4 linked regions of the Canis lupus familiaris genome follow. The protein of the gene in region 1 binds, or shares a complex with, the protein of each later gene. Links are inferred from orthologs where the notes say so. Each region holds a gene or a part of one and is shown in the gene's direction. Other genes may lie near its edges. The genes, in order: SMARCA5, MYBBP1A, DEK and RSF1.

What was found.
Region 2: SMARCA5 (region 1) and MYBBP1A share a complex: the UniProt entries of both Homo sapiens proteins name them as parts of the B-WICH complex. The link is inferred for Canis lupus familiaris from reciprocal best matches to the Homo sapiens genes SMARCA5 and MYBBP1A.
Region 3: SMARCA5 (region 1) and DEK share a complex: the UniProt entries of both Homo sapiens proteins name them as parts of the B-WICH complex. The link is inferred for Canis lupus familiaris from reciprocal best matches to the Homo sapiens genes SMARCA5 and DEK.
Region 4: SMARCA5 (region 1) and RSF1 share a complex: the UniProt entries of both Homo sapiens proteins name them as parts of the RSF-5 ISWI chromatin-remodeling complex. The link is inferred for Canis lupus familiaris from reciprocal best matches to the Homo sapiens genes SMARCA5 and RSF1.

Annotation. Positions count from the first base shown.
Region 1 is NC_049236.1:43,060,082-43,065,620, forward strand, and holds the end of SMARCA5 (SWI/SNF-related matrix-associated actin-dependent regulator of chromatin subfamily A member 5), read left to right. Parts: intron 1-1,354; coding exon 1,355-1,462; intron 1,463-2,184; coding exon 2,185-2,250; 3' UTR 2,251-3,440; downstream 3,441-5,539. UniProt on the Homo sapiens protein: ATPase that possesses intrinsic ATP-dependent nucleosome-remodeling activity.
Region 2 is NC_049226.1:30,730,170-30,736,493, reverse strand, and holds part of MYBBP1A (myb-binding protein 1A), read left to right. Parts: intron 1-545; coding exon 546-721; intron 722-810; coding exon 811-978; intron 979-1,100; coding exon 1,101-1,218; intron 1,219-2,302; coding exon 2,303-2,598; intron 2,599-2,803; coding exon 2,804-2,914; intron 2,915-3,264; coding exon 3,265-3,390; intron 3,391-3,511; coding exon 3,512-3,679; intron 3,680-3,767; coding exon 3,768-3,873; intron 3,874-4,815; coding exon 4,816-4,912; intron 4,913-5,014; coding exon 5,015-5,166; intron 5,167-5,432; coding exon 5,433-5,513; intron 5,514-5,586; coding exon 5,587-5,736; intron 5,737-5,809; coding exon 5,810-5,986; intron 5,987-6,069; coding exon 6,070-6,227; intron 6,228-6,324. UniProt on the Homo sapiens protein: May activate or repress transcription via interactions with sequence specific DNA-binding proteins. Repression may be mediated at least in part by histone deacetylase activity (HDAC activity).
Region 3 is NC_049256.1:18,345,618-18,351,941, reverse strand, and holds part of DEK (protein DEK), read left to right. Parts: intron 1-2,031; coding exon 2,032-2,133; intron 2,134-2,391; coding exon 2,392-2,501; intron 2,502-3,714; coding exon 3,715-3,809; intron 3,810-4,807; coding exon 4,808-4,928; intron 4,929-6,324. UniProt on the Homo sapiens protein: Involved in chromatin organization.
Region 4 is NC_049242.1:21,200,715-21,207,038, forward strand, and holds part of RSF1 (remodeling and spacing factor 1), read left to right. Parts: intron 1-3,001; coding exon 3,002-4,767; intron 4,768-6,324. UniProt on the Homo sapiens protein: Regulatory subunit of the ATP-dependent RSF-1 and RSF-5 ISWI chromatin-remodeling complexes, which form ordered nucleosome arrays on chromatin and facilitate access to DNA during DNA-templated processes such as DNA replication, transcription, and repair.

The DNA of each region.
Region 1 (5,539 bases):
TTAAAGTATGTTGTTACTCTTCAAGATGGGGGACTGTGCACAGTCTTTTCATATTTGACCACTGAAGGATTATTTTTCACTAAACATTAACAGTGGCTACTCTCTTGTGTATTCTTGTTTGGGAAATGTTGCACTATAAAGACATTATAAATAAAATTTGAGGAAAGACCAATTCCTATAGCTTTATCTTTTTTTTTTTTAATATTTTATTTGTTTATTCATGAGAGACGGGGGGTTGGGGGGAGAGAAGCAGAGACAGAGGCTGAAGGAGAAGCAGGCTTCTCTGCAAGGAGGCGGATGAGGGAATCAATCCTGGATCCTGGGATCATGCCCTGAGCCAAAGGCAGATGCTCAACTGCTGAGCCATCCAGGTGTCCCCCTATAGTTCTGTCTTTTGTCTTTAAGTGGGAACAATTCATACAGTTAATAAGAAACAAAATGCACTATCATGTTGATTTACCAGTACAGTACAAACCAGTACCCAAAGCTGTTATTTCCAAACATGTTTCATTTTAGAGCACACATAAAATATGAGATTATATATGTGCATGGCCCCTTCTGATGAACACTTAAGGCATAATCCTTGCCTGAGATCACATCTGTAACATTGTGGCATGTATGCCTCAGTACATTTGTTAGGTATAGAATTTTGATGTAGTGTATTACCTTTTATCTATATTATGTTGCAAATATTTCCAAACGTTGTATGGTGTATTCTGTAACCGTATTTTAAAATGATTTTGTTGTAGTTTGCATAGGTCATTTTTTTTTTTTTTTAACAAGAAAACCATTTTGCTTACTAAGTCAGCAATGATGCAAATGTACTTCTCTTTTCTTCAGGGTCATATGCTAATGCAGCACTACACTTTATACAGCCTCCACAAAGGATTTCAGTTGACTAGAGAGAGATGATGTAGATATCATCATAAACTTTTACATGGCTATTTTTCCAAAATTGGAAAAATTCTAGTTAAGGGAAAGATGACACTTTACACTTCTTAGTAAAGCTCTGGTTCCTTTAGTTTTGGATCTATAGGATAGTTCTCAGGTATAGGTACTAAGTAGCAATGTGGCATATATTATGTTAATTTTCACTGGTTGAATTTCTTTGGGAAAGAAGGATTTATGAAGATGAAAACAGTGTGATTTTAAAGAATGTAAAAACATCGATATCTTGATTTTCATAGAATGGATTGTAATCAGTTCTTTTGGCTGTTCTAGATTTTATCTTTGGGGAATGTATGAGTAATTCTATATTATACAATTAAAACGTTATCATTTTAAAACCTTGGTATCCTGAAAACTTGTAGATGGATATACATGTTTACCATATAAATTTATATTTACAATTCAGGAGCTCCAGAGGAGGTGTAATACCTTAATTACCTTGATTGAAAGAGAAAACATGGAACTAGAAGAAAAGGAGAAGGCAGAGAAAAAGAAGAGAGGACCAAAACCTTCAGTAAGTATTCATGAAGATATATTTTCTTTGTAAGAATTTGAACATTATGTAGCTATCAGTAATGTGTTTGTCTTTATGTTATGAATTGTTCTTAAAAGTATAAATTTGATTGCGTTGTGTAGGGAATACATTACGATGGTATTCCGTAATTTGGAGATTCTTGAAAATCTGGGGAAGATATGTCTTATGAATGCCATGAGCCTACAGTTGACCTTGAGAGTACAAGGTGTAATTTTAGAATATGTAAAGAAATATTAGGAAAGCAATGGTTTTACAACCTTTACTGCAAACTTTTAAGGTTTGGTTTATGTCCCAGTGATATTCTTAGCAATGTTAACACAGATATTTTAAGAGAATTAAAAAAAGGTCATCTTTTTATTTAGTAATAATTTAGAAAGTCATGAATAAATGAATGCCTGAGTAATGTCTGGTATTTATGTAAAACCTCATTAAAATAATTTAGTACTGCTTTCTTTTGGTATCAAGGCATGTTATTGTTTGGTGTATTGGTTTACTGTTGTGTATTGCAAATTATTTAATTGGCATTAAAATTTTTGTGTTCATTAAGTGAGTAGACAAGATTTTGGAGAATTAAGATTATTCTGGGTAAGAAAGTCTAATACTTATTACTATGTAGCAGTTGTTAAAGTAAAAAAGAGTCCACGTATTTTATCTTTAATATTAGTCTTGTGATTAAAAGGAATCTTTCTGTTCATTTGTAGACACAGAAACGTAAAATGGATGGAGCACCTGATGGTCGAGGAAGAAAAAAGAAGCTGAAACTATGAATACATATTTGTTTCATAATCACTAACTTTAAACCAGTAGTTCTTTAATTTACGGGTCTTCATAAGATGTACTGTACAATACTCAATTGTTATGTCATTCAAAGACATCAGGTTCATCTGTTTACTAAGCTAGAAACATAGTATGTAGTTTCACTTTTTTAAATGCAACAGCTGTGCTGAAATTTTTTTTATCATTAACACTTGAAGTAATAAAACAGGCTTCATTTATTAATAAATGTTTCATTTGATTTATTTTTCTATTATAGTTCCATTTGTGAAGATTGTGATTTTTTGTTTTATCAGCTATAATTTCTACACCCAGAGCTTAAAAAACAAGCAAACAACTAAAAAAAATTGCACAAATAATATTTGTCCTTTGGTCTTCACTTAGTTGTGTAATTGTTTTAATTCACTTTGCCTTTGCAGAAATTTGGGTATCTTTGTAGTGCTATATAGAGTCTCATCTGGGAAGATTATGTAAATTGCATTCTCCTTGATTATTATATGGGTAGAATGAAACAAAAGGCAAGACAAATTATCATTAAATTCTATGCATATATCTGTTACGCTTTCTGTTTCTGTAGTTGGTTCTGAGGTGTGAATATGCCCTATTCTGTTGGAAGACTGGCTGTTTAGTTGTATAGCCAAAGACATTTAGTATTTTCTGGTTCCGTAAAGTGTTATTGTACCATTTTGTAAAAGGAATATTAATTTTAATTGTTTGGTAAATGTTTTGACAAATTACCTTCTTGAAGCAGCCACAACTTAGAAAGATAATGTCAAAACTAAGGTGATTTTTTTTTTAAAGACCAGTCAAAATAAGGTATGGATTTGTCATACTGTTAAATTGAAATTGGTAACAGAATGTATGTCCCCTTCCAGTTTGCCTTTTTTGAGTTTTTAGAGTAATTGAAAATTTTATATTTTAAAATAATTTTTAAGTGTGAATGGCAAGATTGAGTATAATAACCGGTTTTTATTTTCTATGGACAGACTTGATAAACTGGAGACCCTAAAGCCGGATTACCCAAATTGTAGTGTCAGGTTTTTAGCTGTACCAGAGGCCTTTATGTGCTACACATAATTTGTATAAAGTTTTATATGTGCAAATTGGGTACATAAACAGTTCTCCATTTTTCTAAGGGAATGCAATAAATGTAGCATCGTGAATAAATATAACTTTTATAATCCTTAAGTGGTCTTTTCTTTCCATTTTTTTTCTCATTTGATTTTTTATTTTTTTCCTTAGAACATTATCTCATTCCCTTAGATTTCTTCTAAAATTTCTATTACTTGTCAATTGTCTGCCCACACATAATTGAGACTTTATTTATAATGCTGATTTCTAAAGTATTACTAATACTGCTTACTTTTCCAAACTGTGGAATCGTGGCTGTGTTAAGCAAAATCCAGTGTTTATGGCAAGTTGTAATTTGAGCTTCCTTTTCTGCTTCCCCTAAATGACATCATTTTAACCTTGGATTCTGGAAATAATTGAGTCCAGTGTATGCAAAATTTGAGGAATAGGGAGTACTCTTAAGGGTGGTAGCCTAATTTTAGAAGAAACACTTGGAAAAACAAGGCTGAAGAAAACTGGAAGTCACCAAAGCAATGTTTTCAAGAGGTGGGGAAAGTAAAAAAAGCCATAGAGTGGAAATGTGTTAAAGAAATCAAGCTTAGGGATCCTTGGGTGGCGCAGCGGTTTGGCGCCTGCCTTTGGCCCAGGGCGCGATCCTGGAGATCCGGGATCAAATCCCACGTCAGGCTCCCGGTGCATGGAGCCTGCTTCTCCCTCTGCCTGTGTCTCTGCCTCTCTCTCTCTCACTGTGTGCCTATCATGAATAAATAAAAATTAAAAAAAAAAAAAAAAAAAAAAGAAATCAAGCTTAGCCCTTGAAAGCTCAGGGACTCGAAAGGGAAAGGGAAACAGTTAAAAAAGCAGGAAAGAAAAACAATATCCAAATTTTGCATTGTAATTAGCCAATGTATTTCTTTTCCACATGTCAATTAGGATATTATTGCATATTTAAGAAAAAAGCCATGATTCTAATGATACTGCTAGTTAAGGAAAAATTAGCCAAAAGTAACTTTTTTTTTCAAAAGTAGCTTTTTAAAAGAGGAAAAATGGTAGAGAAGATAGGCTCAAAATTGGAAACCGATTTCGTTGATACCTCCTCCTCAACTGAAAATAGAGGATATCCATCAATATGTAGCATGCTATTTGAAGCCAACCTAGAAGAGACTAGGTTTACATGGGTGGCCAGGGTCACAATAATCCATTACCCAGAATATTTCATTTAAATTTAGTAAGGTACTATATTAGTTGTTGGAAAGGTTATAATTTATTGGGAAGATATCCAGGTAAAACTAGTAAAATAATCATTACTTTCAACTTCAGTATTTTAAATAGTAAGTAGAACCTTAGGGAAAAGAGATAATGGAAGCTTTCCCAATGGCACACCTTTTAAAAATCCAGTACATTTCAAATTTATATAGTAGACTTAGAGTGTGGTTATTTTTATAGCACTACTTGCATATGCTCATGATGGTGTTAGTTTTACTTAGGAAATCTGAACTAAACAGCCCTAATTGGGAATTTATGAACCTCTAAATGTCTTCACAGGATAGAGTTTAGTGTGATGGATATATGAGAAATAGCAATATTTTGATAAGTTTTTGGGTATCTAACATTTAACCAATTAACCTACCAATTTGGTGATTTCAAGTTTTTCCCCAAATAGAATTACACTCTTTAAATATTACAAAGGTAAAAATACACCATTTTTTAAGAAAAATGCTTTTATGCCCTTAGAGTAATAGTTCAGTTGTAATAACATTTTAAGGAATATTTATAAATTGCATTTCTGAGGAATTGTCAGCCTTCGACACCTTTGTTAGTGTTTTTGTGGGGCAATTCAGTGAGCAGTCTCAAGCTGAGACAGTTTGAAGAGGTTGAATCAAGTACAAAATGGTGGACTTGCTTTAGGCATAAATGTAGTCTATGACCTGATTCCTGGGACCATTTTCCAGGAAGAAGCAGCTCTTTATAAAAATAGTGTAACCCATTTTAGTATAAAGGCATACCTCAGATAATGAGGGTTCAGTTCCAGACCACTGCAATAAAGTGAATATTGCCATAAAGTGAGTCAAGTGGCTATGTTGGTTTCCCAATGCATACAAAAGACCTTTATACACTAAAGTGTAATAGCATGGTTTTAAAACGGCAATGCACATACCTTAATACCTTATTGCTAAAAATGCTAACGATCTGAGTTTTCAGCAAGTTGTA
Region 2 (6,324 bases), on another chromosome or scaffold:
GGACAATATAGTCCTAGAATAGCACCTAATATGTGGCAAATACATTAAATGTGTTGTTTTGGATGGAGAGGAACCCCCCAGGACTCCTCGCCCTGCTTGGGAAATGGAGGTGTGCTCGTATCTAGAACCCTTTGCTCTTGAGGAAGAGGCAAGGACTGGCATAGCCCTGGCCCCAGAGCTAGAAGGACCTGAATCCAAGTCCTAGCTCTCCATTTACCTCCTGTAAGAAATGAGCCACTCCTGAAAAAAAAAAAAAAACCGAGAGGAATAATTTTAAAAGTAGCTAGTTAGCACCAGCAGGTAGTTACTAGAATCCTGGGACTGGGGGGTGGGGGAGGTTGAGCTTTTCAGCCGGTACCATGTAACGATCCTGATGCCTGCCAGGGTGGATTGTGGCTATCCCACCCCAGACTGGCACTGTCGGGACCTCATGGGACCCTAGGCAGATGGAACAGCCCGTGGGGCTTACATGGCAGGAGAGGTGACACAGGGTGCTGGGGGAGCTGCTGCCACCACCCCCACTCCAACTTGTGTCCCCACCCCAGGTCCCGGAAGCCGTGTTGCAGGAGATCCTGCCAAAAGTCCTCAAGGCGGACTTAAATTCGGTGCTGGGCTCCCCTGAGCACCTGGAGCTCTTCCTCTTGGCCCAGCAGAAGGTGCCTGAGAAGCTGAAGGAGCTGATAGGACCCGTCAACCTGTTCTCAGATGAGAACATCCCCAGGTGTGAGGGATGTGGGAGGATGGGCTCCCCCAGGGACCCTGTTGTCTGGTTGGCCGGTGCCCCCTGAGTTCCCTCCATCCCTTCCGCAGACTGGTGAACGTCCTGAAGACGGCAGCTGCCTCTGTGAAGAAAGAACGCAAGCTGCCCACTGTGGCCCTGGACCTGCTCCGCCTGGCGCTTCAGGAGGGCAGGTTCCCATGGTTCTGGAAGGAAGTTGTGGAGCAGGGGCTGCTGAAGAAGCAGTTCTGGCCAGCCAGGTACGTGTGGCGCTTGTCCTCTGCACACCTCCTTTCCTGTTCGGTGGTGGGGTGGGCTCGGGGCCCCAGACACCACTTGGTGTGGCCCAGGCTCTGACCAGGCTCTGCTGCACACCCCTCAGCTACCTATGTTTCCGCCTGCTGGGCACTGCCCTGCCCCTGCTGTCCAAGGAGCAGCTGCCGCTGGTGATGCAGGGGGACCTGATCCGGCATTTTGGGGAGCACATGGTCACTGCTAAGGTGGGTATCCCCCCTCCCCCAGCAGCCCAGCACTGCCAGGAGGGGCAGGCCACCCCTTGGGTCAGCTTCTCGAGAACGTTGCTCTTTGCTGCAGCATCCTGGTCTTCCTACCTCGGTGGTCTTGCTGGGGAACTGGGTGTCCCTTCCACCTGGTGGTGGTTTGGCCAGGTCAGTCCTTCTGGTCTCAGGCCCCTCAGCTGAGGCACGTGTGGCCAGCGGCCCACCCAGACCTCCCCCGTCCCCAGCTGGTGTCAATGGGGAGAGTCATCTTGGTCCCTGACATACTGAGCACTGTGCATGGCCCCATGCTACACTGCGCACTGGATGGGGGAATCAGGTGCTGGTTAGGAGTTCAGAGTAGAGAGCCAGGCTGACTCCCCCGGCCTGGGCCTGCCGCCTCTGTTGCGACCGGTGTCTTTCTTAGGTGCTGTGAATGTGATAGGGTTAGAGCCCCTAGAGCGCTCATGGCTTCCCCGGTGCCCAGGAAGTACTCCTGGGGGGCTGTCCTCACCTCCCATCCCTATAGTGGGTTTCTGTTCTGTGCGGAGTGGGGCAGGGAGGCCAGATCGGCGGCTCCATGTCCCAGATGCACCACCTGGAACTCCATGACCCTGAAAAGTTAGTGGCCAGCTTTTTCTGTGCCACGCTTTCTTTATCTGTGAGATGCCACGAGGGGCCCAGTGTGAAGGGTTGTCATGAACGTGAAACCCGCCACCACCCAAAGCCTCGTGGCTGTGGTGCCCCCGTGGGCATTGCTGGGTGCTGAGCCCCATAGCACTATAGCCAGGTGCTTGAGATGTGGGGTTTGAACCTGGTCAGAGTATAGAATAGCCCGTCTGCACCCTGCTCCGCTGCTCCTCCGTCCTGGGCCTAGAAAGCAGCCTGTCAGGTACAGCAGGTGAGAGTGGGCGGAGGGCCACCTGGGGCAGGAGCAGGTGGATGGCGTCAGGGCCACAGCGTGGCTCAGCCTGGCTGCATACAGGGCTTGGGCTTCCCAGGCCTCAGTCTCATCTGTTGGGGAGAGGCTGGCGGGGCCGTGGGCCTCCTGGCTGGTGACCCCAATGTTGGGCCTGACTCCTCGCAGCTCCCAAACCAGTTCAAGTTTGCTCCGGAGATGAACGAGTACTTGAGTGCCTTCCTGGAAAGCTGCCGGGATGACCCCGAGCGGCAGCTGGCTGTGGTGGTGGCCTTCACGTGCGTCACCAACCAGGGCCTCCCTGTCCTGCCTACGTTCTGGAGGGTTGTGCGATCCCTGAGTGCCCCTGCTCTCAAGGGCTACGTGGCCTGGCTGCGGGACATGTTTCTCCGGCCTGACCTGGACTCCCTGGTGGACTTCAGCACCAGCGGCCAGAAGAAAGCTCAGGATGCCTCGCTGCACGTGTGAGTGGCCAAGTGGAGCCAGGAGAGCTCAGCCCTCCTTCCCGCGGGGCCTGGGCAGGGCAAGGGAAGGGCAGGGGAGCCCCTGAACTCAGGGTCTGGGTTTCCTCATGTGTTCCTGTGCTGTGGTTGGAGGAGCTAGTGTCAGTCTCCAGGGTGGGGGGCAGAGAACCTGAGTGGCTCCCGTAACCTGGCTCCCACCCACCAGGCCTGAGCGTGCTGTGCTGCGGCTGCGGAAGTGGGTCATCCTTCGCCTGGTCAGCATGGTGGACGCTTTGCATGCAGAGAAGGAGGAGGATGTGATTGAGGAGGTGGCCAGGTAGGGCAGGCTCTGCCCCCCGCACCCCACGGGGGACAAGAATGGGCCTTTTGTCTGGTCCTAGACCTGGTGTGGTCTCCCTGGAGCCTGAAGCCTGGGGGCTGGGTCAGCACTGGAGGGCCACTCGTACCCCTTGCAGGGGCCCCCAACACTGGCCTCCTGTCTCAGGGGGTCTCCTGCAGCCCTCACCATGGTCCCAGAAGAAGGCAGCCCTTGTGTGCAGAGCCTGTTTGTGCAGGCTGGAGATGAGACTTGGGAAACGTTCCTTGTGCTGCCACTGGCCCTGGGCGCTGGGTGGTACCCTCCTGGGAGGGGGCTGCGGCCATCCCTGGCTCTCCCACCCTCTCCAGGTTTTGTTTCTTCCACTCGTTCTTCGAAACAAAGAAGCCTACATCCCAGATTCCAGAGACCGAACAGCGGTTCTCCTTCCCTCTGGAGAGCCGGACCCGGGAGGTGGTCAGCAGTGCCTTCTTCAGGTGGGCTGCGGGCAGGCTGGGTGGGGGGCTTCTTGGCTTGGAGAGCACAGAGGCCTAGTGAGCTCCAGCAGGTCAGGGTGTGGGCGGCCCGGTCTGTGACCCCAGCCCCATCCTTGCCCAGCCTGCTGCAGACCCTCAGCACGCAGTTCAGGCAGGCGCCAGAGCCCACCCAGGACCGGCCACCCTGGACCCACCGCTTGGTACAATTCGCGGACTCGCTATTGAACCGCAGCCGCAATGTGACTCCCCTGACACCCTTCAGCTCACAGCAGCGCCAGGCTTGGGACCGGTAAGGGGCCGTGGTTGCCTTTGGGGAGGTGGGACACCTGAGGTCCAGTGGGGGATGGTGGCCTGAGAGCATGCCCATGTCACCCCAGGATGCTGCAGACGCTGAAGGAGCTGGACGCCTGCCCCCCAGAGGCCAAGGCCAAGGCCAGTGCTTTCCAGCACCTGCTCTTCCTGGTGGGCGTCTACTTGTTCAAGGTACGGTGGTGAGTGGGGTGGAGGCTGTGCAAGTCGTGTGGCCAGTTTCTGAGGCCAGTCGGCCCTGGTCGAATTGCAGCCCAGGGAAGAGTTGCTGCATCCACTTCCCGGCCCCCTCGGATGCTGAGCTTCCTACGCGGCGTGTCTCACCCCCATGATTTTGTGGCAGGTGCTGCTCCCATCGGCCTGGGGGCGGGGGTGCAGAACTCCAGGCAGAGTAACCACACAGTCGCTGCCTGGGATTCACGCTGGGGTCAGACTCCCTGCCCCACAAAGGCCCCCAGACTTGCCTTCCTAAGCGGAGGTGGCGGGTGTGCAGGAGAAAGTATGGCCTATGGGGAGGGGCCTGCTGTGGGCAGTCGTGGCACATGGGGTGCTTTCAGGGCACTTCTGTCTGCTGTCAGCCGAGGAGTGAGGGCCTGACATCCTGTCCTGGAACCTCACCCACCAGAAGCCAAGTGGCAGGTTGGGGTGAGCGGGTGTGCCTGGGGCTCTACGCCCCAAGGTCATGTCCTGTGTGCTGGTGCCAGCCTGTCCCATGGCAGCATCTCCAGATGTCTTCCCCCACTGGGCTCCTCTGCAGTGCCAGAGGCCACGCAGGCGATGCAGGTGCCCCAGTCCCCGGTGGAGGCTGTGGTCTGGGCTCACCCCAGCAAGGTGGCGCAAAACTGGATTTGAGTTCGTTCAAAGTAATGAGTGCTGGGGGTCCAAGCCCCTGACCCAGCTGGCCTTGTCGCCCCCAGGTGGTGGTGGGGACGTTGGGCTCCAGGCCCTGTGGCCCCATGTGGTACAAAAGCCGCGGCCCCCGGGGTCCTCTGCCCTGGGTGTGAGGGACCTGGGCCTTGTGCCTCCCCCCACTGCGCCCGCCTTACTGGCCCCTCCCCTGGCTCAGCAAGGCTGGGGGTGGGGCCGGCCTCTGACCTGGTCCTCACCCTCCCATAGTCCCCTGTGGAGAGCTGCGATCTTCTGGGTGACATCCAGACCTGCATCAAGAAAAGCCTAGGGGAGAAGACGCGCCGGACTCGCTCCAAGGCTGCCAGTGGGTCACAGCCCTGGGGTGGGGACAGGGCACATCCTGGGCTCCTGTGGACGTGGAATGGGGTGGTGGGGACCTGCCCAGGCTCAGCTGTCCCACCTGCAGACCCCCAGGAGCCGCCGTGGGTGGAGGTGCTGGTGGAGATCCTGCTGGCCCTCCTGGCCCAGCCCAGCCACCTGATGCGCCAGGTGGCCCGGACCGTGTTCAGCCACATCTGCTCACACCTGACGCCACGTGCTCTGCAGCTGATCTTGGATGTGAGTGGGGAGATGGGGCCTGGATGGGACTCTCCCAGCCCTGTGGCTGCCTCCTCACCGTGACCCGCAGAGCGGGTAGGGGCCTGAACCCAGACCACTTCTGTGCAGGTGGTCCCCCGGGGGCCACAGGGGTCTCAGTGTGGCCTCCTCTCCCAGGCTCTGTTTCCTCCTTGAGAGGAGCCTTTTGGCCCAGACTGGACAGGGCCCGGTCAGGGGAGGGGGAAGCGTCTGCGCTACAGACACGTTGGCCATTGGGGAACCTGCAGGTGCTGAACCCTGAGCAGAGCCCAGAGGAGGACAGCGTGGTGGTCACGGACGATTCTGAGAAGCAGCTGGAGAGCGAGGGGGTACGTGTTGGGCACAGTGGGGCAGGCGGATGTGTGGTGGGCGACAGGCGGTGCAATACAGTGGCTCCTGCAGGACAAGAGCTCGGAGAGTGAGGACGACAAACACTCAGCCAGCGAGGAGGACAGCGATGAGGAAGACAGTGATGAGGAGGACCGGGACGGGGATGTGGACCAGGGCTTCCGGGAGCAGCTCATGGCAGTGCTACAGGCGGGGAAGGCCCTGGTGAGCCACGGGCTGGGGTGGGAGGGCCTGCGTCCACACCAGCGGCCAGCCGCTCAGCGGGCCTCTTCCTCAGGGCACAGTGGACGGTGAGGATGACGATGACGACGAGCTGGGGGATGAGGCCATGATGGCCCTGGACCAGAGCCTTGCCAGCCTCTTCGCCGAGCAGAAGCTGCGCATCCAGGCCCGGAGGGATGAGAAGAACAAGCTGCGGAAGGAGAAGGTGCTCCGGCGAGACTTCCAGATCCGGGTGAGCCAGAGAGCTGCCAGCACCACCGTGTCCCACCTCCCATGCACACCCCACACCTGCTGACCTGCCTATGCTGGCCACAGGCTTTGGACCTGATCGAGGTGCTGGTGACCAAGCAGCCCGAGAACCCACTGGTCCTGGAGCTGCTGGAGCCCCTGCTGGACATCATCCGGCGTAGTATGCGCAGCAGCAGCTCCAAGCAGGAGCAGGACCTCTTGCACAAGACCGCCCGCATCTTCACGTGAGTGCGGCCTGCGACCCGGGCCCCTGGGCTCCCCACGATCTGGCGGGTGTGCCTCTTGCACTTGGCCCAGGCTCCTTGCCAGCCCCCCTACTGT
Region 3 (6,324 bases), on another chromosome or scaffold:
CTCTTGTCTGTTTAAAGTGATAGGTGTTCTGAGAAAAGGAGCACTGCCACGTTGAAGCTTTAGAAAAAAAAAAAAATAATACAGGTTATTTTTAAACTATTCATACTACAGTAACTGAAAATTGGCTGCAGTATCTTAACTGCTAGTCCAGAATCATCTTAGCATTTTTTTCCTCTAGTTTTTTTGGTCTCTTTAAAGACAAAAGTTTTGATACCACAGAGATGATGGATTCATATGTGTCAGGAAAAATTATACAAATCATGTAAAAATACTACAAATGGCAGAGTAATGCTTGGGGGAACTGATGATTGTTTGAATTGTGATATCCCCCCCCCCCCAAAAAAAAAATTACCCTCAAGCAATTCTCTAGTTGTTCTAATTGATTACTGTTCATTCCCTCATTTGAGGTGTTCATGGAACAACTAAAATTGTAAAGGTTTTTATCCTACGTTAGCCCTGAACATTCAAGTCTGCTGTCTAGGCATCACAGAAACAAGGCAGTGTAGTCTGTTCCTAGTGAAGGTGGGATTGTCTTGACTGCGGTGGGTGAGGAGCTGGTAAAAGATGATTCTTCGGTGTCTATCTTCGGCAACTGAGTTGACATTACTACAGTTTTCTGAAAACTAGAATTGTCAAAGGTGAGCAAGGTTGGAGAGGAGTACGACCTCTGTTTTGAATGCAGAGTTAGGTGCCTACAGGACATGAAGTGGAGCTGTCCATTTATCGACCCTCCTAGCTGATTTGAAGCTCTTGAGTGGAGAGAATCAGGAAAGTCATTAGCTTGTACGTGGTAAACAGGTGAGCGAAAGGTTTAAATCACTCAGGGAAAGGAAGTAGCAGGATCACAGGGATTGCTTTAGAGTGCATTTTCTTCACTCTGCACACCATTGCCATTGCTGCTAGAATCCCTTTATCCTTCCTAATTCCTTCTGTGCAAATCCTCCCATCTCCAGATCTTACCTATCCTTCAAAGGCAGCTCCAGTGTTTTGATCCTTTTTCCTTAATCCAAAAATAATGACTCTCTTCAATTCAGAGTTGTTTTATTTGTAGATTGCCTAAGGTGTTTTATCATCTGCTTGGAGTGTGTTTGTTGTGTCTCATCACCACCGGTAGACATGATCTCTTTCAAGAGTTACTCAGTGTCTTGACCATCTGTTCAATCCCCCCTTAGTGTCTAGTGAAGCTTTGTACAAAACTGGCATTCAGTTGAATGAATGAAAGGACCTTCAGTGATAGTGTCCTCTTTTATCTGAATTTATCTCAGTAGGTAAATTGTTTTGGAAATTTAAGCTCAGTGTTTTAAGTTTTTAAGTAAATGCTGTTTATCTTCTAGCCTTTTTTTTTTTAATAAAAGCAGTCTGTACTATAAACAATTTAACTTTTTTAGAATGATTTATGACCATTGTTATAAACATTTACCAAACTAAAAGTAATGTCCTCCTAGTCACTTGCAGTAAATGTAAACTTGGAGAATTTTACCCTATTTATAGCAACCTCAGGCTGCTCTGCTTTAGCTAAAGTCTTCGTTTTTCTTTCATCTGCTTACTGAATTACTGCTTTTCTATGTTTTTGAAGTTGTTATAATCTCAGTCTTAAACTTGCTGTTTGATGTACCATAAACTAAATCTCAATCAACAGAATTAGGTCTAATTAAAGAGCAGGCTTAGTGAGGGGCATTGGTGATTTTTCATAAAGTGACTGGCACTTTCATTAGCAATAATTGTAGTTCAGTAAAAGTTCATTTCCTTTATGATTTTTTAAAAAACTGGATCCCTTGTGAGGTTGCCAGGTAAGTAAAATGCTACTCTAAAAAAAAACTTAAGTGATGTTAACTTATTATGTATTTTCATTTCTCTTTCATCATTTGCTTCTTAAAATTAAAGAGTAAGGTACTTTTTTGCTACTCAAAAAAAAAAAAAAAGAGTAAGGTATTAAAGAGTTCTGCAGTTTTTTTCTACATGTTTATCCAGTAGAGTTAATACTTTTTTTAAGCTTTTAGCTGTTTTAAGAAATATTCAATTAATTTCTAGAAAAGAGTCTCATCGTGGAAGGCAAGAGGGAAAAGAAAAAAGTAGAGAGATTGACCATGCAAGTCTCTTCCTTACAGAGAGAGCCATTTACAATTGCACAAGGTAAGTTTATTCTGTTCTTTTCATTTTATGGTAAAAATGACTAAATATATAATAAAATGGTCAGTGTTCAGTTTTTAGTGTTTACGAAGTCATTATATATTATGGGTATAATTTTATTTAGTTTGCCCTATTCAGCAAAAGCTATATGTAAATTTGGCTGTTAAATAATCGTGATTAAAATAACTTTGTATGTATTAACACATGCTGGGCATTTAACTTTAGTTATTATGGTGTTTTGTTTTGTTTTGTTTTCCCTAGGAAAGGGGCAGAAACTTTGTGAAATTGAGAGGATACATTTCTTCCTGAGTAAAAAGAAAACAGATGAACTTAGAAATCTACATAAACTGCTTTACAACAGACCAGGCACAGTTAAGACCTTTTTTATATCTTTAACCTAGTAACATATTTATGTATTGAAATACTTTACAATTAAAGCATGATTTTAGTTCAGGAAGGGACTTAAGCAATCCAGTGGTTCAATTTCTGTACCATACAAGTGAACAAACTGAGACATATAAAATGACTTATCATATGTAGAATACATAATTAAATATCAGCAGTTAGGATTATAACATTTAGGCTTGTACTATAGTTGTTTTTATGCCAAACTGAAATTTCAAAATGTGAAATCCGAAATGTGATTTTTAGGGATCTTTAAATGCATTAGAAGAAATTTATTTTTTGGATGTTTTTACTTATTCAGAATAAATGATACAGTATAATTTATCTCATTTTGAGCAAATATCTGATAAATTAGGTGGTAATTCTTTGTCAGGGAACTTGTTAGAACAAATCAGTATTGCATTAATTGAATTACACTGTACACACAACTTCAGTATTTCGTATAATTGAGTAAACTTTGGATTGTACGTGGGCAAAGTGAAGTTTGATGTTAGAATTGAATGTCTGAAGCATGGTGTTATTTCATGTGATCGTCACTGCAATCTGATTTACACAAGTCTTTTTTTTTTTTTTTTAAGATTTTATTTATTTTATTCATAGAGACACAGACAGAGAGAGGGAGGCAGAGACACAGGCAGAGGGAGAAGCAGGCTCCCTATAGGGAGCCTGACGTGGGGGTCTCTAGGATCAGGCCCTGGGCTGAAGGTGGTGCTAAATCGCTGAGCCACCCAGGCTGCCTTGATTTACACAAGTCTTATGACTGCTAAGTGGTATTAACTTTTGGAGGTCCTCCGTTCTTTTCAAAGAATAAAATACATGACTCTCTGATTTGAGAAATATTACTAGTAACTTGTATTAAGAAACGGGAGTTTTTTAAGAAGTAACTTTCCACATCTTCTGGTATTGTCAGATAACACTTAGTTGTGGTTTTATAATTGCCAGTAAAAATTCCCAGATGGAAATTCATTCAGATTGAAATTGTTATCTTTAAGGATTGAACTTAAAGCATTTATTATGTTACTATTTTAATAACAAATACCATTTTCAGTTGTGAATAAGAAATGTTGAATAAACCAGTGTTGTAGGTGGGAGACAGCTATGAAAATAAAGATGTTGGCTTTGAATTTTCTTACATACATTACCGGGTAATAGCATTAATAATAAGGGAAACGTTTTCAGGTGTCCTCATTAAAGAAGAATGTGGGTCAGTTCAGTGGCTTTCCATTTGAAAAAGGAAGTGCCCAGTATAAAAAGAAGGAAGAAATGTTGAAAAAGTAAGTTATTTTTAAAGTATTGTGTTTTGATCAGTGTGTTTTATTTCTTAACATTTAAATAGGACCATTGAAACATTTTTTAGCAGACTGCTAATGCTTTGCTTTAAATACCAAGATCTGACTTTCCTTCATAGCTATCAACTTGTGATGTTCATTACTTTCCACTAGTGACTGTTAAGAGTATTGAAAACTCACATCTAAAGATGTTTCTATTTCTTAGGAGAACTGTATACACAAATTGTTCACATGGTCCAAAATTTAGGCCTAAGGGAAATATACTGAAAAAACTCTCCCACTCTTGTCCTCTGCCAGCCACTCTGTTCCCCCAACTTACAGGGACCATTTAAACTGTTGTGAAGATAATCAACTTGATAGGAGCAGTGTTCTTCATCATAATGCAAGCCAGATGATAAATTAAGAGCTTTTATTTGTTAAATCATCTAAAACTTAAGAGTTACAAATAATGAAGATGATTACCTACTTGTTCATCAAAATGTCATAGTAGGAGTGCTGAGGGGAAAATGTAGTATTTAATCACCAGAAGAATTGTCAAATCCATGAATTTTAGAGTACTGAAAACTTTTTACAGTATTTCCTAGTTGAATTGACTTTTTTTCTTTTAAGTAGCCTCGACACGTCATGGGGCTTGAACTCATGACCCTGGGACTGAGACCTGGGCTGAGCTCAAGAGTCCAATGCTTAACCGACTGAGCCACCTAGGTGGTCTGACCTAGTTAATTCTTCTACTACTTTTAAAACTTAATTGGTAAATGGTGTTTTCAATTTATTATATTTGGTTGTATTTTGTACATTAGTCAAGATAATAGGGAAGAACTTTTTAGATTTGGAGAAACATTGGTTTTTTTTGTTTTGTGTTTTTTTTTTTTTTTTTTTTAATGCTTATTACCCAAGCCAGTTTGGTTAGCTGTTACGTTTATGTTGTGGGTAATATATGCTACATAATAAATAAACTTTGTTTCTTTCATTTTCTGTTTTAGATTTAGAAATGCCATGTTAAAGAGCATCTGTGAGGTTCTTGATTTGGAGAGATCGGGTGTAAATAGTGAACTGGTGAAGAGGATCTTGAATTTCTTAATGCATCCAAAGCCTTCTGGCAAAGTGAGGACCAGTTTTTTTTGTTTTTTTTTTTTTTTTTTCCAGTAACAAATCAATTATTTGTAGCCTTTCTTTACTTTCTTTTAATGGAATGATTTAGTTTGTTAGCAGCATTGTCAATATTCAGTATTGTCTTCTACATTTAAAGGATATGCCCTTGTTGATATATCTGCAACATTTTCATGATAGAAGTACATAGAATCCATGCAGATGTATCCTATATCAGATATAAATGGTGTAAGATTAAGAAAAGTAATTGTTAACTGGATTAGTCTTAAATGGACAAATACAAACTAAGCATCCAGGCTTATTTATATATATAGAAGGCATTGGAAGAACAGAAACAGATTGAGTTGAGGGTGAGGTGTTGGATTGTCCAGGTAAGATTAAGATGGGGTGCATTAGAACTGGATGTTTTCTAGACACTGGAATAATGTTATGAAAATACAACATAAAAAACAAAATGGAATGTTAAAAGTTTCTTGGATTGGGTTTCCAGAATCAGCAGAGCCCAGGAGTTGGACATGGAAGTAAAATGGCCTTATACTTTCCCCCATTCTTCTGAAATTTAGATTAGGTTTGCCCAAATTGTTTAACAAATGACATCACTGACTTAAAAATGTCTGTTGAAGTAATACTTACAGGAGCCTACATTTTCTGTTTGAAGTCTGTCAGTAAATATTTTCATATTCTTCCTCATTTTCATGGCAAAGAAACTATGAAGAGATCTAGAGGACTTAGGAGTTCAGGGGAATACTATCAGTGAGTGGAAGGGGCCTTAAGGATTAGAATCAGAAAATAGCTCTGAGACTTAGGGGTGTTTTTAAGATTTTATTTATCTGAGAGAGAACACAGTTAGGGATGGGGAAGCAGAGGGAGAGAGAAGCAGACTCTCCGCTGAGCAGGGAACCTAACATGGGGCTTGATCCCAGGACCCTGCGATCATGACCTGAGCTGAAGGCAGATGCTTAACCGACTAGTCACCCAGGTACCCTTGGGACTTTGGTTTTATCTGCTGGTAGTCTAATTTACCATTAACTGGACAAAGACTGATAAAGGGTATTTTTGTCAGTTCTCAGGCAGCTAAAAACCCAAGGGCCATGGTGAATCTTTGTGTGTTTTGAATTGGCTTAAAGATGAGAGATTATCTGTTTTCCTAAACTTTTACCTCTACTTTAGAATTTCAGGTGACAAACAATACCATTTCTCCAGAAGACATTATTAAGTTATGAGGGATATGTTTATATTCTTTTCCTCATTGATTTTTTTTTTAAGATTTTATTTATTCATGAGAGACACAGAGAGAGGCAGAGATATAGGCAGAGGGAGAAGCAAGCTCCATGCAGGGTGCCTAATGTGGGACTTGATCTCGGGAATCCAGGATCATGCCCTGAGCCAA
Region 4 (6,324 bases), on another chromosome or scaffold:
TGACTTTTCCTTTCCCTCAAATACTTAATGGCCATTGTAAAATATTAGCTGGCCTAATTTCAGTATTGATGTGTCTCAGGGAATAGGAAGGCCCAAGGAGAAGGAGAGATGGGGGGGTTGGTCAGTTGGTGGAGTAGTCAGAACACACACAATTTTAAGTTGACCGTCTTAAATGGGTGTGGTTTGTGGAGCCCCAAAGCAATTATAATAGTAACATCAAATGATCACTGATAACAAATCACTGTAACAAACGTAGTATAATGAAAAAGTTTGAAATATTGTGAGAATTACCAAAATGTGACCGAGACATGAAGTGAGCAAATGCTTTTAGAAAAATGGTGCCAATAGACTTGCTTGATGCAAGATTGCCACAAACTTCCAATTTGAACAAAATGCAGTATCTGGAAAGTACAATAAAGTGAAGCCCAATAAAAGGTATGTTTATACTGGGTAGATACCTAGCAATGTCCTTTACAGTTAACTTTTATAGGATAGTCAGTGTTTTATTCCATAGAGATTGTGGTTGGGATGGTTGGGAAAGCACATAATAGGTAATCAGTAAATATTTGTTGAGTAGGTGAGTGAATCCACTTTAAAAACCTATGGTAGGGGATCCCTGGGTGGTGCCTGCCTTTGGCCCAGGGCGAGATCCTGAAGACCCGGGATCGAATCCCACATCGGGCTCCCGGTGCATGGAGCCTACTTCTCCCTCTGCCTGTGTCTCTGCCTCTCTCTCTCTCTCTCTCTCTGTGACTATCATAAATAAATAAATTAGAAAAAATTAAAAAAAAAAAAAAAAACTATGGTAGGGCAGCCCGGGTGGCTCAGCGGTTTAGCGCCACCTTCAGCCCAGGGCCTGATCCTGGAGACCTGGGATCGAGTCCCACATTGGGCTCCCTGCATGGAGCCTGCTTCTCCGTCTGCCTGTGTCTCTGCCTCTGTGTGTGTGTGTCTCTCATGAATAAATAAACAAAATCTTTAAAAAAAAAATAAAAATAAATAAAAACCTATGGTAGATAATACTTCTCTTGGATTACCTCAAGTTTGCCAACCAGTGTTGCTGCTCCAATGTGAGTTTTGAAGTAAGTTTTACCTTAAGTTTTGTTTCTTAAAAAAAAAAAAAAAAAAAAAAAGTTTCTTCAGATTTTATATCTCTTCAAGTCATTTGCATTTCTTTTACAGTTTCTTTTTAAGAAAACTTCAGGAAAATGCTTATATATAACTGAATGATCTTTTTACAAGTTGAAGTTATTTTTTAAAATGGTAATCAGTGGGTTTTTTTTTTTTTTTTTTTGGTAATCAGTGTTTTAATTGTTAAGATATTCATTTAATTAGATTTCCTGATGTGCTAACTGATCTCAATGATCAGGAATTTACTAAGGCTACTTTTTCAGTGGGAAGGAGAAAACACAAATTAGATCATTAATGTCATGTCTTTAATTTCCTTAGTGGCATGCATATATGAAATTATTGACAATGTAAAGAGTGAAGAGCAATACTGACCTCCTGTTTCAGGTTCTGAGTGGTTCTTAGTGGTTCTTGAATGGTATATTTGCAACATGAATTAAGTAAAAGAACTAGTTGTTTGTAATTAAAATATTTACTCTTTTAAAGATGTTGCGTTCTTATTTTCAAAAACATGTCCTGATTCATCTCCCTTCTCTTTTATTCCATTTTATACCTGTGAAATACATTATAACTCTAGTTTATCAATTTGGTTTAATGTGTGCAATTTTTTTGGTAAAAATTACTACTTTGGTAAAATTCCATTTAGAGCTGTTTTTTTCAATTGTAGGGATATAGTGAAGTGATGGGAAATACAGGTAAAATTAGTACTTAATGAATTCTGTGAAAACGCTCTGCTTAGATTCTCTGAGCACTGGTTTATATTGTTTGTGCAATCTGTGTAATCCCATTCAAATGTAATGTTATTGGGGCACCTGGGTGGCTCAGTTGGTTAAACATGCAACTCTTCTTGATCTCAGCTCAGGTCTTGATCTCAGGGTTGTGAGTTTCAGCCCCACATTGGGCTCCAGGCTGAGCCTGGAGCCTACTTAAAATAATTTTTTTAATGCAAAAAAAATCACAAAGATTATGCTATTTACCAGATTTGGTTTTTGCACTATTAAGTACTCTATAAAAGTTGGAAATACATAGCCAATTAAGGTAAAAAGAAGAATTGATGATAAATGTATATAGTTGGTAACATATTAACTTCTGAAATTTTACTATGGCATTTGATAAAGTAAATTTTAATACAACCACATTGAGGACTGCTATATAATTAAATCTGATTTCTTAAAAGGCATTAAATATCATAAGATAGTGGTAATGTTTCAATGAAAAAAAAATGGGGCAACATGATCCCAACTTTGTTAAAAATATACAGGACTAGAAGTAACCTAAAATAATAATAGTGGCTGCCTCTGGGTATTAAGATTATGGACCTTTTATTCTTTTTGTGGGCATATGTTTCATTTTCTGTGCAGAATTGTGTTACTTTTAGTAATCTGTATAAAGCATAAAACAAACATTTTCCCATGCTCGTGCTACCTCAATGAAATGAAGTGCTCAGTGACTTGCAAGGAAGAACATTTGTCAGTTTTTAAAACAAATATGGTCTTTTGGAAATGTTTTATGTAGTATTTTTAGTTCACATTTTTGAGCCATCACTTGAGCTTGAATAAATTATTTGAACTGTATAAACATTTGCATTCCATTGAGGAACACTGAAGCTAAAAGTATAAAGCAGAAACCTGAATCTTTCTGAATACCCATTTTTTGATATTTAGAAGTTGTGCTTCAGGTTTGGTAATTTCCTTCACCGTCAGATTTGGAGTGTTTGGTTTTTTGGTTTTTGTTTCTTTTTTGATCAAATGTCCATTGACAAGCCACCTTTTTTAAGAGGGAAATTTCAATTGAGAATATCAATTATATTTAGCCTTTTGTATTTTATAATCTTAAATGCTTAGATTTATGTAAATTTTTTCCTGATTTGTAGAGGAACAGAAGGAAAATGAGAAGATGAAAAGTGAAGAGCAGCCAGTAGATTCAGAAAACTGTTCTACACCCAGTGCTCTGGAAGAGGCTACTGTGAAAATAGAAAAAGAAGATGAAAAGGAACTTGTCAAACTGCCAGTCATAGTCAAGCTAGAAAAACCTTTGCCAGAAAGTGAGGAAAAAAGGATTATCAAAGAAGAAAGTGATTCCTTCAAGGAAAATGTCAAACCCACTAAAGTCGAAGTAAAGGAATTTAGAGCAGATCCTAAAGATATCAAAGGTAGCATGGAGAAGCTAGAGCCAGAGAGGCTGGAATTTGGTGGCAATGTTAGATCTTCTCAAGAAATCACTGAGAAGTCTACTGAAGAAACCGAAAAACTTAAAAATGACCAGCAGGCCAAGATACCCCTAAAAAAACGAGAAATTAAACTGAGTGATGATTTTGACAGTCCAATCAAAGGACCTTTGTGTAAATCAGTTACTCCAACAAAAGAGTTTTTGAAAGATGAAATAAAGCAAGAGGAAGAGACTTGTAAAAGGATCTCTACGATTACTATTTTGGGTCATGAAGGGAAACAACTGGTAAATGGAGAAGTTAGTGATGAAAAGGTAACTTCAAATTTTAAGACAGAACAAATGGAGACAAGGATTTGTGATACAAAGGAAGATAGCTGTAGCCCATCTAAAGATAGAAGTGTCATCGTAGAGGGAAATGGAGCAGAGTCCTTAAATTCTGTCATAACGAATATGAAAATAGGCGATCTTGAGAAGGAAGTGGTCCCTGTAGGGAAAGATGCAGATAGTTCAATATTAATCTTAGAGCCCCAGAGTCAAAAAGGGCAGTTAGAGGAAACTGGTCCTCTGGAAATGGAAATCTCTCTTGAGTCTTCTGAGATGGCAAAAGATCTCTCTTTGAAAACCTCTTTATCTGCCACTGAATCTTGTACCCTGAAAGTTGACGAGAAGTCTTCCAAAAGTAAAAAGGATAAGCGCCCACCAGTCCTAGAATGTCTTGAAAAGTTAGAGAAGTCCAAAAAGACTTTTCTTGAGAAGGACACAGAAAGATTGAGTCCAATACCAGAGGAGGCTCCAAAGTATACTCCAGAATCAGGAAAGCCAGTCTCTCCAGAGGCAGCTGAAGGTTCAGCACCGTCTAACATGACAGACCACTGTGAGAAGTTAGCCTCAGAAAAAGAGGTGGTAGAATGTCAGAACACAAGTTCCACAGAAGGTCAGCCCCTGGAAAAAACAGACCCAGAAATTCTAAAAAAGGATTCTGAATCCACAAAGGTAGAAACGGATAATCTGGACAATGCCCAGACCTCTGGCACAGAAGATCCTTCTGAGGCAAAGAGTTCTGTGCAAAAAAGCAAATTTAAATATAAGCTGGTTCCTGAGGAAGAAACCACTGCCTCAGAAAACACAGAGATAACCTCTGAAAGGCAGAAAGAGGGCATCAAATTAACAATTAGGATATCCAGTCGAAAGAAAAAGCCAGATTGTCCTCCCCAAATTCTAGAACAAGAAACCAAGCAAGAGAAGACAGAAAAGGAAGAAGAGAAAACAAATGTGGGTCGTACTTTAAGGAGATCTCCAAGAATATCAAGACCCACAGCAAAAGTGGCTGAGATCAGAGATCAGAAAGCTGATAAAAAAAGAGGAGAAGGAGAAGATGAGGTAGAAGAAGAGTCAGCAGCTTTGCAGAAAGCAGACAAAAAAGAAAATATGAAAAAAACAGAGAAGGATACGAATTCTAAAGTAAGCAAGGTAAAATTTCTCCTGTTCTGAGCTTTAATTTTTATTAGAAATAATTGGGCCTAAGTGTGACTCTTGGTTTTGGCTAAAGAGAACTTTAATATATATATGTGTGTGTGTGTGTGTGTGTATATATATATATATATATATGTATATATATATATATATCTTTCTTCCTATAGCTGAGATATCTTTTCTCACTAGTATTCCAGACATTAAATTTCAGACTATATAATCTTGTCATCTTTTAAACTTTTTCTCTATTACAGGGAATATGTTCTCTTTGTAAACTATGCAGATAATACTCAAGCTGTGGGATTGAAAAATCAAAATGTCACGTAAACACTATTAACAGTTTTGGATGCATGTCTTTCCAGTTCTTTTTCCACATCTTTTTCCAATTCATATTTATGTTCATAAATATTTACCCGTTCACTTAAAAGATAAATGTGTTCATTTTTCTATGAATTTTTCACTTATCAGTGTGTGTCTGAATTCTTTCTATGTCAGTAGATGTAGTCTACCTTTTGGTTATTGATGGCTACATAGTATTCCATAGTGTGGATGTACCTCAGCTTATTTAACCACTCCCTTATTGATTGACATTTAGGTTGTTTCCAATTTTTCACTATTACAGGCAATGCTGCATTGAAGATCCTTTTGGACATAAGTGAGTATTTCTTTAGAATAGACTCCTAGAATTGGCATTGCTGGGTCAAGGGGCATGTGTATACTTTAACTTTTGGTAGCTATTGCCACATTGGCCTCCCCAAAAGGCCCCATTAGTATATTCTCTCATTACCGTGTATGAGAGCATCTTCTTCCCCTATTTTAATCATTAGTCTTAGAAGCCAGAATTCTTTTTTCTATGACTTTTATTTTAAGCAAAATCTTGTACAAGTATACAGCTAGCTTATAGGAGTTTGTTAAAATTAAAAGTGCTACTTTTATTTTTAATTTATTTAAATGATCAGATCACTTCTTCATTGTAAGTGATCCTTTGTTCCCTGAAATACTGAATTTTTAATTTCTTTATTTAAAAAAATTTTTCCCCTTCTGTTGTTAGAATTATTTTGATCATTGATGGGGACTTACACTGTAGGAATGAACTGAAATATGAATTAAAAGACTGAAACAAGGCAATAAAAAGCAGTTTACAACATTATAAACCTAATCTCTGAATAATGCTTCTTTATATTTGTCAGGATTTTTATATGCAGTTCTGACCCATGAAAATTTTTTAATTCATCTCTAATATGGGAATTTAAAACTTTATATAGCAATATGTGAGAATATATTCAGTGCTCTATTAGAAAGCCTTTAAAATGTGCATGGCCTTTGACCCAGAATGCTCTTCAAGGAATTTATCCTAACTACAGAGGTTTGTAAAAGTTTATATTTATAAGGAGCCATTTTTTATGAAAGTGAAAAACTGGGAAACTACCTAAATGTCTATTTATTTAGTAAGGGATTAGATAAATACAGTTGTGTGATGGCATCTTATGTGATGGCATCTTATATGGTCATTTACAGTGATGTTAACAATATACTTTATGACTAGGGAAAATG